4 linked regions of the Yarrowia lipolytica genome follow. The protein of the gene in region 3 binds, or shares a complex with, the protein of the main gene of each other region. Links are inferred from orthologs where the notes say so. Each region holds a gene or a part of one and is shown on either strand. Other genes may lie near its edges. The genes, in order: YALI1_A05491g, YALI1_D17410g, YALI1_E33268g and YALI1_F09803g.

Region 1 (3,392 bases), on a different chromosome or scaffold from region 3:
GAATAATGAGCATGTCTTGATTCGCGTCGTACAGCACGACCAGACTATATGTTCTGGTCTCTTTCCGGTGACTCGAGCCTGTTTGTCATCCCAAGAGCGAGCTGACGAGTTCCACCAAATAAGGCAGCTTGTACTTAATGGTAATGGTCAGATCGACAGCTCAAGGCCTTTTGGTAATCTTGGAGCTCGACGGGTTGTCGTCCTCCGACTTGATGGCGATATCGGAAGGACCGTTCTCGTTGTCCTTGACATTGTAGCCGTGTTCATCGTGTACTCGAAAAGAAGATAGATAAAGGTTGATGGGGATCTTCAGGGAGGATAGATGTATTCGATGCCGAGAATAGTTCGTCCGTGATGGCCTTCCTGTTGTTTGAGCCGATTGTCATAAGTGTTTGAATACACGAGCAGGATCGAGATGAATGACTGAACACACTTGCCGCAGTGGAAGATGAAGATGCCTCCCAAAGAGTGTGACTTGATGGCACTTGTACTGTACTGGTTGCTGGTATCATGTAGATATAGTAAGAACCATGGGCTTCTCACCTTCTCCTGAGTTTTTTGTAAACCAGCAGAAATCAGCTCACAATATATAGCAAACATATGTCGGCGAACAGACTACGGAGATACTCTACAACCATTGCGTTACATTCTATTATACAATACATCCCGTTCTTTCTTTTAAGCCATCTCAACGTCCTCCTTGACCTCTTCGGTCACCTCTGCGGTTGCGCTCTTGGTCTCCTCCTTTACCCCGTTCTCTCCGATCCACAGTACGTTGTTGCATCTGATGAAAACGTCGCCTAGCTCGCCCTTGTTCTCCTGGTCGACATACTCCACTGCATCCTCCAGCTGCAGGTTCATATAACTGTCGACGGAAACAAGTGTGCCCTGGTACTCGGTCTTGCCCCACTTGAGGTGGACAATGACGGACTTGCCTGTGAGTTCTTGCAGAAACGGTTTGGGGTTGGTGGGATTGAAAGGGGTTGACTGGGTTAGTAATGATAGTAGAGGAGATGATGTGCGTGGCGACGACAGATGATTGTGGGCGAATCAGTTGTGAAGCGGAGGTTAACTAAGCATGGTTGAGGAGAGCTAGACCACACATGTCACTAGTGTATATGCGGTTCACCTCGTTCGAGCGAGACAAGAGCTTGCCAAGGAGTCAGCTGCAAATTGGACCATTTCCAGTGCCTCACTTTCCCCTCATTCACGGTTGTAGAAAAACGACATTCCATTGCTGTCACACCACACAAACACAAACAACATAAAAATTGCATGACTTTCACGGCGGACTCTTGATATGGGGTTTCTCGGAAAAGGCTTTGCGTAGCAGACAATATCAAGCCTAGACGCAGCAGTAGTGTCACCGTGTCGTCCTTCCATTCTTGTAGATGTTGAGTTGAATCCAACTACAAAACGAGAGATCAGAGACACAAGACCACAAATACTTGCAGTCCATACCTCGGTATCCATAACCACTCCAATACCCCGCTAGGTACGCCACTGGTCCAGCTCTTCAAACAGCATTCCTGTCTTGACAGCATCAGACCTCGTCAGTATATGGTCCCCTCTCACACCCCGTCCCTCTCACACCCCGTCATTGTGTCTGCCTGACTACCAATAACGCATATCCATCATCTGTAGCATTTCCACTGCTCAAAAAATTCATACTCACCATCCTTGTTGTGGTAAAATGCTTGTTGTAGAAGTGGTGATGATGGCCGTGATCTGAGGGTCTACACACTGATACTGCAAAATAAGGTTTCCTGAATTTTGAAGAAAAAAAATAATTGCGAATTCTGTGGATCGAACACAGGACCTCCAGATTTCAAGACTGAGAATTACTTCAGTCTGGCGCTCTCCCAACTGAGCTAAATCCGCCGCGATTTCGATATTTTTGGATCAATCTCAGCAGTCAGCATTGTCGAATTATGTAATCATGATTGCTGATATATTTACCGGTCAATAGATGAAACAAGAAGAATACGTGAACAACCATACACGAATGCCATGCGCTCTTCTGGACAACTGAATCCAGATCCGATTTGCAGGTATAACAGATGTACTCAAGTAGCTGATGTATTTCCCCAGCATGAAAAAAAAAAAGAAAAAAGGATAACATAAAGTCCTCTGTTCCCTGTATTCTAATATATCTTTCTGCACGGTTACGACAGTGTCCATACCTTCAATATGGCCACCATTTTTTTATATTCTACTTTTTTTATTTTTTATTCTAATGATTCCTTTCTACTGCGGCTGAGTCATCAGTCTGCTTAGTCAGAGGTCTGGTTATAAAACGGGAATATCTCCAGGTCCCTTGGCCCAGTTGGTTAAGGCGTCGTGCTAATAAGAAATAGCCACTTTGCAACGCGAAGATCAGCAGTTCGATCCTGCTAGGGACCATTCCTTTTTGCTCCTTTCAGAACCGCAGATGGTCAGTCGCAAGCGCTTCCTGTCCTGATGTTGCTATCTCATTCTCTTCTAAATGGTTGTGAGAAGAGAATGTTATCGGATCGGACCCGCTGTGTTTGCAAGCAATGTACAAATTTCCATGTGGGGTTTCATTGAAGTCTTGATAAAACCCGAGAAAGAAGACAATGGCCCATTCCAAAGCAGTCAATGGCGTCTATTTTGCTACTTGGAGAACCGATAGCCCCCACACGCATTTCACGGTTGGCTCCCCCGCGTTTCTCGTCGACGACGGAAAGGTCCGAATCTAGTGCTAGCGTCCAGGGTATGAGCATGGCTCCCATGTCCGGTTGGATATATGGAATTGCTGCTTACTAAAAGGAAGTGTGTTTATGAGCGATGAATGGCCTTTCGGGACCGGAACTTCCAGATATTGCTGGTAACTGCTAATCGACACAGCTCTCGTTCACGCTAATGAGTGGTGTAATCTCGTGAGTTAGGTAGTAAATAGCAGTACAGTACATCTTGAAGTTGTCGAACTGGTGAAATTTGTACCTTTTGGCGACCAGTTGCCACACTCTCCTAGGTCGAACGAGAAAGCTCGGGTCGATAGATGGGTTGTAGTTCGATCTCTTAAAACCCGTTTCGTGAATTACTCTGAATTCTCCAACTATCGGATCAGAGCCTGGGCCTATTTGAGCCACTTCATGTGTATCGTATGTGTGTACATTGTAGTCATCAATTCATCCGCAAGGATCGCGGTTGTTCTCCAAGTACGGGTGCGGACTGGACTCGTATCACACCGAAGGACAGAGTGGTGGGTATGTTTAACAGTTCAGTGCAACGTGAAGGACTTTCAAGGACGACTCTACTAATTTACAACTCTACAACTCAAGAACTCAAGAACTACACAACGACAATTCACCGACAATTCAACGACCCGGCTCATAAAAAACAATCCAACCACTTGATAACAACTCAAT
Region 2 (3,089 bases), on a different chromosome or scaffold from region 3:
AAAAAAAAAAAAAAAACATTATAAAAAACGAAAACGGAAACGGAAACAAACTGAAGATTTTAGAGGAATGTAAGCACTGCTTTGAGTAGTTCCATGTCACAACAGATATTATTAATATACTAGCATTTCTGACAATCACTGTTATCGTCCCATCAGATTTGCAAAAGAATGTATAACCGAGCTATATGACTGACTTCAGAGTTCATCGTAAGGAAGTCTAGAGTCGTACTTGCTCGTTTGTAGCTGTCATTTCCATCTTTATCTTGCGCACAATGGGTATCACAGGCTCAGAGGAATAGTAAGAGCTCACGTCGGTGGTGGAGTAGTCCTGTCACTTGTACAGTGCTCCACCGTTTCGTATCAGAAGATAGTCCAATATACACGTCCATTCCCTATTATGCTAATTATATTATATACCTTTTTCCAGCCATGAGTGAGTGCGCCATTGTCCCCCATCTCATCTTTGCTCCCGGTTCTTTCTATGCCGTATCTCCAAAACTAAACACTCTGTTCGGGGCTGTTCTTGAGTGCTCTTGAGGCTGTGTAATCCTGTGTTTCGGACGTTAGTCACCGAACATGACAGTCCGCGTGGTTTCACAGTTCTGCCCAGACGTGTGTATGCGTCTACGCCCGTCCAAATCCAGGAGGAGCCTGGAACCCGGGAGGAGCTCTTCCTCCAGGCGCACTTCGCACGGGACCTCCCAATCCCGGTCCTCCAGCTCCTCTGGGACCTGTGGGGATGGCCCGGTTGATGCCCTTGGCAGACCCGGATCCGGGTGTCAGAGCGGTGTTGCCCAGTCGAGCTGTAGGATCTGTGGGAGGAGGAGCCTCGACAGACACAGAAACCACAGTCTCGCCTCGTAGAATGACCAACCCCAAAGTCCGTTTCTCCTCAGTGATGGACACGGAAGAAGCGTCGCCATTCTCGATCTGGATAGTCTTTTTTGCCTCCAGCAGCGACTTTTTCGTTGCCCGGAACTCCTCGCAGTCACTTAGAACAAGATTCATGTACCGGTCGAACGCCAGCATCTGTCCCACCATCTGCTTGCCATCCACAGTCGTCACCCGGAGCCTGTAGTTGACCAGATCGGCCATTTTTGTCTTGTTTGGTACCTGTGTTAGCAAAACGCTGGAGCTGCTCGTCCCATCGAGCGTTTTGAGATTAATCATGTAACACTTTTGGTCACGTGATGTAGATCTTCAAGTGATGTCGGTTGCCACATGATGGCTCTTTCCAATCATACTCACAATCATCTTGTGTGACGGTGTGTGTGTGTGTGTGTGTGTGTGTGTGTACAGTAGTGCAATGTCTCGTTGGTGATGCACAACTGGAGGATCAACTTTGTGTGCAGATTGTCATGCAGTAGGGTAACTGGGTATGGCGGCCGAAGTGGACAAAAAAGCGGTTGATTTTTGTGCATTAAAAAAAATGGGAATTTCGAGTTGTTTCTTGGTCCTCTTTTTTTTTTCCTTTTTTTTCCTTTTTTTATTTTTTTCTTTTGTTAATTTATTTATTTCTCCATTTCTTATTTGGTTGCTGCTGTTGAAGAAGAGGTTGGAGAGGTATACCTTTGCCTTAGTCGAACGTCCAGAGATGGAATTATTGTTGGACAATAGGGAGACCTGAAAATGTAGAAATGATGGGCTTGAGTGGGGTTTCTATTGGTGTAATTTTCATGTCTAGCGAATAGCTCGTTTGTCATCAAATCAGAGACTATGTATTGTCCCTAGTAATCGAGGTGTGATTACATAATATCAAAATAATCAGCTTGAGTAGACTACCCATTAGTGTAGTCTTAGTCAGCAAATCGGAGATTGTTTGAAAGATTATTAATGATAATCAAAAATATATGTTTTAATAAAAAATGATGATATAATGAAGAGAGACTCGCACCTTCGTTGGACTACGACTAACCTACAAGTAGCTACAAGTACTTTCCTTTCAGTATATCCCTGGTATCTCTTTGTCAAGTATCAAAATAATCCCCTCGAATCGCTTTATCCATCTCTATCCAACTGATGTTACTTGTTAGTCATCAAGCGGTGATATCACGTCAGTCATCAACGGCAACATGTTGTAGTCATTATTAATTGATTAAATATACAGTGAGCAAAGTGTTCTCTAGGCTGGTTTGTGGTTGACCATGTCGTATCTTTGACATTCAGTCACTTGTCGGACACAATTAGTTGGCCTCCTTGGTCAGCTGGTCGCCGTTGACAATCACCTTCTCCTGGGCGATCTTCTTGAGGTCTCGCTTTCCAAGGTGCTCGATGTTCTTGAGCTTGTCGCCGTTGACGATGGCGTTGACCGGGGCAGGGGCAGGGGCAGGAGCAGCAAGAGCCAGGGTGGAGAGAGCAGCAATGAGAGTGGTGGAGAGTCGCATGGTGGATGTGGCAGAAACGAACGTTGGTTGGAACTAACAAAGACGAAAGACGAAAGACGGAGACGCCTCCCCGCTTATATATATATACCGCGTCAGAGCCAGGGTTAGAGTTGAATATGAACGCTTGGCTCCTGCACGTCATCCCTTGGAGTATGTAGATGCAGGGGGAAGGCGGCGGGATCGAGGAGAGGGCCAAACGCGGGACTGGGGCTATCACGTGACGAAAGGAAGCAACGACACTGTTGCTTGTAGTTGTTAATGACGTGATCAACGACTTTTTCCCTGCTTGCCACTGCGAATAAGCGCCTCTCTGGCCCACATCCCTTGTGTTTACAATCTATTGTTAGCATTCTTCCTTTCAACTTTATCACAGAGTTGGGGCGGGAGCTAGACTCCGTTGCTGGGGGTGAAAAGACGTGTTTTTCGTGTCGCACGGACCGCGACTCGGTTTTCGCCCCGTCCAGATTGCTTAGATGCCAGCCTTTGTTTCTATATCATCCGCTAAACCCCATAGATAGCCGCAGCAAGCAGTATCTCAGCTCTTGGCACCTACGATAATGCACGTCATACTTGTAAACAATGAGCGCATAGTCCGAACACACACAGGGATAAGGTGTCAGCCAATTGAAAGTGGTAGGAGGTCCGGCGAGCCCGCGAGTGCGAGGCGGTACGACGGACAGCGAGGCGGTAGCGTGCGACGGGCGG
Region 3 (3,680 bases):
GTCAATCTTAGCCTTGATGAAGGGAATGTCGAGAATCTTTTTGGTCACTTTTCTGGCATGGAAACGGAATGTGTTTTGAAGTCCATCAGCAAAGATGGTGTGAATAAAAGAAAGGAAGTTGCCAAGGGCTGTGAGAATGACGCTGAGTTAGTATATACATGGCTGGGTTGCTCTAGCTCATCGTTTCCAGATCAAATCACATGAACAGCGAGTAGCTGTTAATTGTATGTCGTAGCTAACATATGATGACTGATATCATGTCCGTGTGCTCCCGGTCGGACGGTCGGATGTACGGCCAAGAGAAGCCTCTGTGAATAATTGCTCCAAGATCTCATGGGTAAAACGTCGTGAGTGTCATGGCGTCAATGGTATCTCTGTAAGATCGCCTTTTACTTGTGTCGTTTTGATTCTCAATGGGACCGTGTATACTCACACAATAAATACCGCATCTCGAAATCTGGGTTAGTAGTACTCAAACAGTCTCATCCTTCGCTTATTCTCACTTTTCATAGGTAGTGGCATTCTGGAAATGCTCAATTACCTCAGCCCTCACGCAGTCGTGCTTCGAATGAAGGTAAGCGACCGGAGAAGCCTGGAACTCGTGGTAGTGCTGATGCAACAGGGCATGGAGCTCGTGGACGCATTTCTGCAGACACTCCAAGTGGGGGATCGCCATTGTTGTGTTTCTGTGGTGTTGGTGTTGGTGTGCAACAAGAGAAGAAATTGTGGGGGTTATAGACAGGTGCACTTGTGTGTCGGATGCTTACTGCCTGTGGTCTGTAGTGAATGTAGCCACTTTAGCTTTCGAAGCTGCATCTAGATATCAGGAGGTGAGATATTAACTCCGGGGAATGCATGGATGCGGTTGTCAGCGGGGTTTATTAAACACACCATTGATGGGCGCCAACGGTTGGGGCTTGGAAGAGATTCTTTCTTAACAGAATTTCCTATATATTGAATGCCTTCCGGCAACTCAAACATCCTTCCTCCCCCTTCTTTGCACTTTATAACTCCTCCACACTGAAATAGCCTCAACACATTCCGTTTAAACTTGCTTAGGCGATCTACTGCGTCTTATTATTATTGGCATCTGAGAGCTAATAGCGAGCGATGATTGAGGTATTAGGAGAGGCCAAACTAAACACAAGTTACGTGAGGCTCTGAAGCTATTTCTATGCCCGCATTATTCGTTTCAGTAGCTCTTTTTCTATCACTTTATCATTCTATAGTTGTATCCTGTTCCCACATTCTCCGCACTTTCGCTTTTAGAGCTAAACTCCGAACGAGTTTTTTATCATTCATGTGAAGGGAAGGTAGGCGGAGGTCAGTATATCGAAGCAGCATGTGGAGTCGCCTGCGTGTTGTTGTTTTTTCCAAAGTCGATTTTTCTGTAAATATCGCCACCATCTTCATCAGCTATTATCTAAACAGAGCTACAAGTAGTGAATAATATCCACAGTTATGGGGATCGAACAGGCAGGAGCTGCAAGAAACTCATAACCTGTGGTTAATAAGTGGCCGATATTTCTTGCTCTCTAGCTGCAAATCTGAACAACCCTGACCTTACAATAGTTTATTCGGGCCTTTCACTCATTGCATAATCCTGCTTTAGCACTCCATATCGCTTTAGTAATCAAATGTATCAATTCTGCACCTCCCAACCTAATTGTCTTCATCACCAACATGGAACTTGTGGATCTGGAGTCGATCAAGACGACGGTGGACTCTTCTTCAGTTCGGGAAGAGGCCGTTGCGGCCCGTCAGCTGTTGGAAAAACAACGTCGAGCTGATATTCTCAAAAAACTGCATGTTCCTACAGACGATAAGGATGTTAGAGCGAAACTACGATCGTTGAATGAGCCCATTACTCTTTTCGCAGAAGACAAAGCTGATCGACGGACCCGTCTGGGTCAGCTAATGGTGGACGAGTTTGATCGGGAAGGTCTGCAGGACGAAGAGAGCGATTCTGACGTTTCTATGGACGACGACGAGTTTTTTACGCCAGGAAGTGAAGAGTTGCTTGATGCAAGGAGGCAGATAACAAACGACAGTATCTTGAGAGCAAGGGACCGACTCACGACACAAAAGCAACAGTCGGAATTGTCCCTGGTGGAGACAGTTAACCTACGACGAGATAAGATGGCCCCTATAGAGCAGTATCAGCTTCTGGGATCACAGTTCGTTTCCACACGTCCAGCAGGGGCCGTGGCTTTTGGAAGCGACTCTATACTGGCTGCATCATCGTGGAACGGCGAGATCAAGCTAATGGATGTACCGAATCTGAATACCAAGGCTGTGTTGAGAGGGCACGTGGATAAAGTAAGTGCTTTGAAATGGGCACGTAATATCTTGCTGAGTGGATGTGGAGAGGGAAAGCTGCTGTTCTGGGATTCCAGCACAGAAGGCAACGAACATACTGCATACAGAACGGTGTCTGAAGCCCACAAGGGCCGTATCGCAGGTCTAGACGTTCATCCAAGCGGGCAGTGGGCTGCTACCGCGTCCTATGACTACACCTGGGCTCTGTGGGACATTGAGAGCGGTACCAAGCTGTTGTCTCAAGAAGGACACTCTAAGGGTGTCCACTCTGTGGCCTTCCACCCGGATGGAGCTCTAGTAGCCTCTGCTGGCTTGGATGCAGTAGGCAGAGTGTGGGATATGCGATCTGGACGAAGTATTCAGACTCTGGAAGGCCATATCCGAGAGATATACAGTCTGGGATGGTCTGGTAACGGGTTCTATCTTGCATCTGGATCTGCTGACGGATCTGTCAGAATATGGGATCTGCGTGCTCAAAAATGTTCCCACACAATCCCTGCACATACAAAGATTGTGTCGAGTGTTCAGTTTGACAAGTCGGGCTCATTTCTCGCATCTACGGGATACGATGGCGACTTTAACATCTGGAATGCCGATTCGTGGACCCTGGCTAAAAGGTGGAAGACGCAAGACCGAATCATGGGCATGGATTTGGGACCTGGAAACGAGTACTTCGCCACCTGTGGCTGGGATCGAACAGTGAAGTTGTGGTGCAAGGAGTAGGCGTTGAAGGGGTAGGAACACATACCGTATCGGTAATATATTGCATTCAAACTACAAGTACTTGTAAGTAAAAATAGAACCACTCAATCCGTCAGTAATTAATTAAACCTCCTATAATACATAATATATTTCATCATTCGTCATCCGTCTACTCTGACTGCGTATTAGGTCCATCGGCAGGAGAAAGAGCTCGTCTAGGAACCGAGCTCGATCTCACACCGTACCTCGCACGTGATGTCTTGGGAGCTGCCTCGCTCTGTCTCTTGAGCTGCTCCTCCAAGTTCTCCACCTTAACCTTGAGCTCTGCAATCTCCGAATCCCGAATTTCTCGCTCTTCGTCGAATGTGAGCTTTCTGAGGGCAGAAAACTCACCATCGGCACGCTGGTTGGCCTCAGCCAGCTCGGTTGTAAGCAATCCCACCTTCGCCAACGCCTCGGACGCGCTCTCGGATGCCTTTTGGTATTCGGAACGCATGTAGTCATTCTCATTGGACCGAGCATCAGCAGTAGCATTGGCCTTTTGCAGGCTCGTCTTCAGCGCCTGAATCTCCTCCTGCTGTTTGGTTTTGATGTCTGCGTCCTCTCCAGAAGCCAAAATAGCCTTCAGAGAAGCAACCTCATCCTGCAATCGAACAACT
Region 4 (3,607 bases), on a different chromosome or scaffold from region 3:
GGTTTGTGAATTCCGAAACAGCTTATGAAGAAACAGCTCAGATTCCCAACCGAGAGATCGACGTGGGCATGGAGGAGTCAGAGGCATACTACCAGGTGGTGGTCGATGGAGTTGGGGAAAAGAGGGTGTTTGCAGAGTCCAATCTGGTGGTTGTGGACGAGACTTCAGGGTTGGACATCATGGACACATTCTCGCATCTCCATGGACTGTGTCTCATGTTCAGGGGATGGAATAAGGAGGAGTATCGCTTTGAGATGACCGAGGTAATGAAGAGGTGTTATCCGGGCGATGCAAAACACTTCTGAGGAGTGCGATGAAGAGTGCAATTGACGGCAACCCTTCCCTATTACCACCACTATCAAGAGTCTCATTGACCAAGTAGTAGACCAACCAGAGCCGCTTAAAATGGTTACGGGACTAACGTATATATGCCTACTGCCTATTTATTTTATTCAATGCGCGATGCTAATACAGCGGTGGTGGATGTCCATTTTACAGCCACATCTACAAGTACCCCCTCCTTCAAATGCATAAATAATTACTATACAACCTCCCTTTCATGCAGAAACGACGAGAATGACGGTGTCGCCTCGCAGAAACATTTTGCTGATGAACCGATCCTTGGTGACGGTCTTGCCGGGCTTGCCGCTGGCGGTTTTCGTTTTTTCCGTCCACATCTCCTTCACGTTCTCCAGCACCATGTTGGAGTGCCGGTCAAACGCCTTGACTCGGGCCAGCAGCTTTTTGTTGTTTCGGCACGATATCAGCACCTGTGTGTGGTTCTGTACTGCCCGCTGCAGCAGCGACAGGGGGCCATGTGAGAACTCGTACTCCTCGAGCTTTTGGAGCTCCACGTCGGTGAGAGTGGACTTGTCCTTGTTTAGGAGTTCACTGGGTTAGTATAAGACGGGTGTGAGGATCGCAGGTCTGGTAGACAACAGTAGAAGATGCATTGTGCGCCTGAGGATATGTCTGGTCTGTCTGTATCGGACGTCAGGCACAATCAAGGATGATGAATAGAGCCAAGATTAGGCATGTTGAACAATGGCGAAACTAGGGAGACGGTGGTATAACTGTCCCCCATATATGTCTGTGTGACCGCCAGTCAAGCATCCTGCTGTTTGCTGATGTTTGTACCATTCATCTTGCTTATTGTTTCATGCTCGTGTGTCATGAATCGTGAGACAATCCGCAGTGAACGTTACAACCAAGATACCGTGCTCACAGTGCCGTTCGCGAAGTGCCATGTTAGGGATGTCGTTCGGAGTGGTAGGAGTGATTGCGGGCGTGCGTCTTGGGCAGTCATGCTTTCATCTGACTGTTACATGAGACTATTAACCTAGTAAAGAAGTTGATTAAGGCATTCACAGCTTCTCAAAAAGTCAATCCCTTCACTTAACGCTGTCACAACTCTCCGTTCGGGTCCAAACAATAACAGTGTCTGCTTGTCGCACACCGTTCATTCTTGGGTTCCACAAATCACTTCACAATCGCATCATCCATCACGTATTCCAGCCATCATTTGGTCCGTCTCGTTTGATCATCCTCCCCAAATCCCGCTTTTCTCGTTATACTCACGCTGGGTTGTCCATCTGTGCTGTTTTTATGTGGTTTTGCGTGGTGTAAAGTGGTGATGTACACACGGTGATAGGATTTCATGCATAGTGAAGGAGTGATGATTTTTGCGTTCGGCAGAATTTAAAGTTTATGCAGTCATGTGACCAGATTCCAAAATAACTGAGTCTGATCCAGCCCTCATGAGAAGAAGCCAGCGAGTACCACACACAGACACAAAGACACCAAGACCGACACTGCAATTTGACTGCCTCTCTGTCACATCTCATGTCCTGATTTGCCACCGTTCTGCTCATGCACCTCACCGTATCTCAACACACATCTTACACGCACCCTCATATCAACACACACACAACATGAAGTTCACGGCATCGACGTCTTATAGAGTGGGCAAACGACGGGCCAAGGAGCCGCCTCTAATGCCCGGCCAGGCGGCGTTCATCAACCAGCTCGAAAAACAAAAGGCCGACTACCTGAAGGCAAACCAACAGGAGAAGCTGCCAGTGACGTCTCTCAAGAGCGATCTCAAGTGGAAGAACCAGGAGAAGCAGGACAGTCTGGGAGACGACATTGTGCAGGTGGTGAGAGAGATTCTGGATAACATGTACGAGGAGATTCCAATCGGAAAGGCGTACACAGCTCCTACTTATGAAGCTCGTCAGAACGTGCCTCCTCTAGTCAAGATGACCCATGTGCACGCATACAGCCTGAGAGAGCCTACGTTGGTCTTGAGACGGGTGAACGACGCCGTCGAGGCAGGACTACTGCGAAAAGTGGCAGTCAATAACGTTGATGAAGGCGTGCTTCTAATGGAGGCAGACAAGTTCTACAAGCTGCTGGATCAGAGCATACAAGAGTGCAAGGTGGCAAATCAGAAGAAGGCTCTGGAGGAATTCAAGATCCTTTTATTGTCCCATCCAAGTCGGGTGGAGTTTGGCTTCGATGAACTTCCCAATGCTTCTACTCTCGTCAAGAGCGGGTTTCTGACCATGAATCCTCAAGAGGCTCAAATGTACAATGTCTGTGTGCCTAACGTGGGTGTGTTTCTGAAACTGGGTGCCTCTGCACGAACATGGTTTATAAACATGCTCAAAAAGCAGTCGTACCAGGAAATGTTAGAGGAGCAGATGGAGAAGAAGTGGAGTGCTAATAGCAACCGCTGGAAGGGCTTCAAGGGCGTTTCTTTCGAATGGATTCTGAAGGATCTCTATGGAGGCTACCACTGTGAATGTTTCAGTACCCCTGTGGGAAGAGGTTGGAAGTTGACCGGAAAGTAGAGAGCCCCCGGTATGTATCTATTTATTGCATTGTTTTTTTGTTGTTTATTGCTTATTGCTTATCAAGTGAATTGGATGGGGGAAAATCGGAAGAATGGGTAGTATTATGACATACTACAAGCAGACAGAGAGAGGGGTATTTTGAACCAGATTACAGGTTGTTTATCACCAATTAATGGCTACTCTCGTAGTTTGGCATTTCTACAAATTTTAGACGGAAATTATATAAATCTGGTGTTGTGCATATTTCATGCATCATGCCACGCGTGTCTTGATTTCTTGTGACTTCAGTTCCACACTTCATGACGACACAAAAGGGCTTATTGCAACGCGTCCAGCTGTATCGAAAGCGCGTGGCTGCTCTTGAAGAGGAGATACGCAAGCTAGAAAGCTCTCAGAGTGCCGAAAACGACGCTCAGGAGCTCGTACAGCAGCTGCTCACCAGCAACAACGACAAGATAGATACTCAGCAACTGGAAGGAGAAATTGGAGCCCAGCTGAACAAGGAAATCACCTCGAATCGCCAATTACAGACGGCTTTCCATACCCTGAAATTGTCGATTGGCGACTCCTACTGGACGGGTGAAAGTCACCATGTTTCCATCATTCACGTTTCAGGACACTCATTTCAATGCCGAGTTGTGCTGACCAAAAGCATGGAGAAGGTCACCGGACTGCGAGTTGAAGATGCGGACATCCCTGTGCTGAAGCCATTTGTTCAGAGGTGCTGCAACCGCAGAAATGTCGTCGCATTG

Evidence for each region.
Region 1: YALI1_E33268g (region 3) and YALI1_A05491g share a complex: the UniProt entries of both Saccharomyces cerevisiae proteins name them as parts of the U4/U6-U5 tri-snRNP complex. The link is inferred for Yarrowia lipolytica from reciprocal best matches to the Saccharomyces cerevisiae genes PRP4 and SMX3.
Region 2: YALI1_E33268g (region 3) and YALI1_D17410g share a complex: the UniProt entries of both Saccharomyces cerevisiae proteins name them as parts of the U4/U6-U5 tri-snRNP complex. The link is inferred for Yarrowia lipolytica from reciprocal best matches to the Saccharomyces cerevisiae genes PRP4 and SMB1.
Region 4: YALI1_E33268g (region 3) and YALI1_F09803g share a complex: the UniProt entries of both Saccharomyces cerevisiae proteins name them as parts of the U4/U6-U5 tri-snRNP complex. The link is inferred for Yarrowia lipolytica from reciprocal best matches to the Saccharomyces cerevisiae genes PRP4 and SMD2.

The regions. Positions count from the first base shown.
Region 1 is NC_090770.1:548,208-551,599, forward strand, and holds YALI1_A05491g (uncharacterized protein), read right to left. Parts: upstream 1,679-3,392; coding exon 1,676-1,678; intron 988-1,675; coding exon 679-987; downstream 1-678. UniProt on the Saccharomyces cerevisiae protein: Plays a role in pre-mRNA splicing as a core component of the spliceosomal U1, U2, U4 and U5 small nuclear ribonucleoproteins (snRNPs), the building blocks of the spliceosome.
Region 2 is NC_090773.1:1,739,124-1,742,212, reverse strand, and holds YALI1_D17410g (uncharacterized protein), read right to left. Parts: upstream 1,171-3,089; coding exon 625-1,170; downstream 1-624. UniProt on the Saccharomyces cerevisiae protein: Plays a role in pre-mRNA splicing as a core component of the spliceosomal U1, U2, U4 and U5 small nuclear ribonucleoproteins (snRNPs), the building blocks of the spliceosome.
Region 3 is NC_090774.1:3,324,793-3,328,472, reverse strand, and holds YALI1_E33268g (uncharacterized protein), read left to right. Parts: upstream 1-1,683; coding exon 1,684-3,042; downstream 3,043-3,680. Other genes in the region: YALI1_E33278g (uncharacterized protein), read right to left, coding at 430-457, 504-676; YALI1_E33234g (uncharacterized protein), read right to left, coding at 3,191-3,680. UniProt on the Saccharomyces cerevisiae protein: Involved in RNA splicing. Is required for the association of U4/U6 snRNP with U5 snRNP in an early step of spliceosome assembly.
Region 4 is NC_090775.1:978,367-981,973, reverse strand, and holds YALI1_F09803g (uncharacterized protein), read right to left. Parts: upstream 1,593-3,607; coding exon 1,579-1,592; intron 892-1,578; coding exon 558-891; downstream 1-557. Other genes in the region: YALI1_F09833g (uncharacterized protein), read left to right, coding at 1-305; YALI1_F09802g (uncharacterized protein), read left to right, coding at 1,758-2,852; YALI1_F09788g (uncharacterized protein), read left to right, coding at 3,155-3,607. UniProt on the Saccharomyces cerevisiae protein: Plays a role in pre-mRNA splicing as a core component of the spliceosomal U1, U2, U4 and U5 small nuclear ribonucleoproteins (snRNPs), the building blocks of the spliceosome.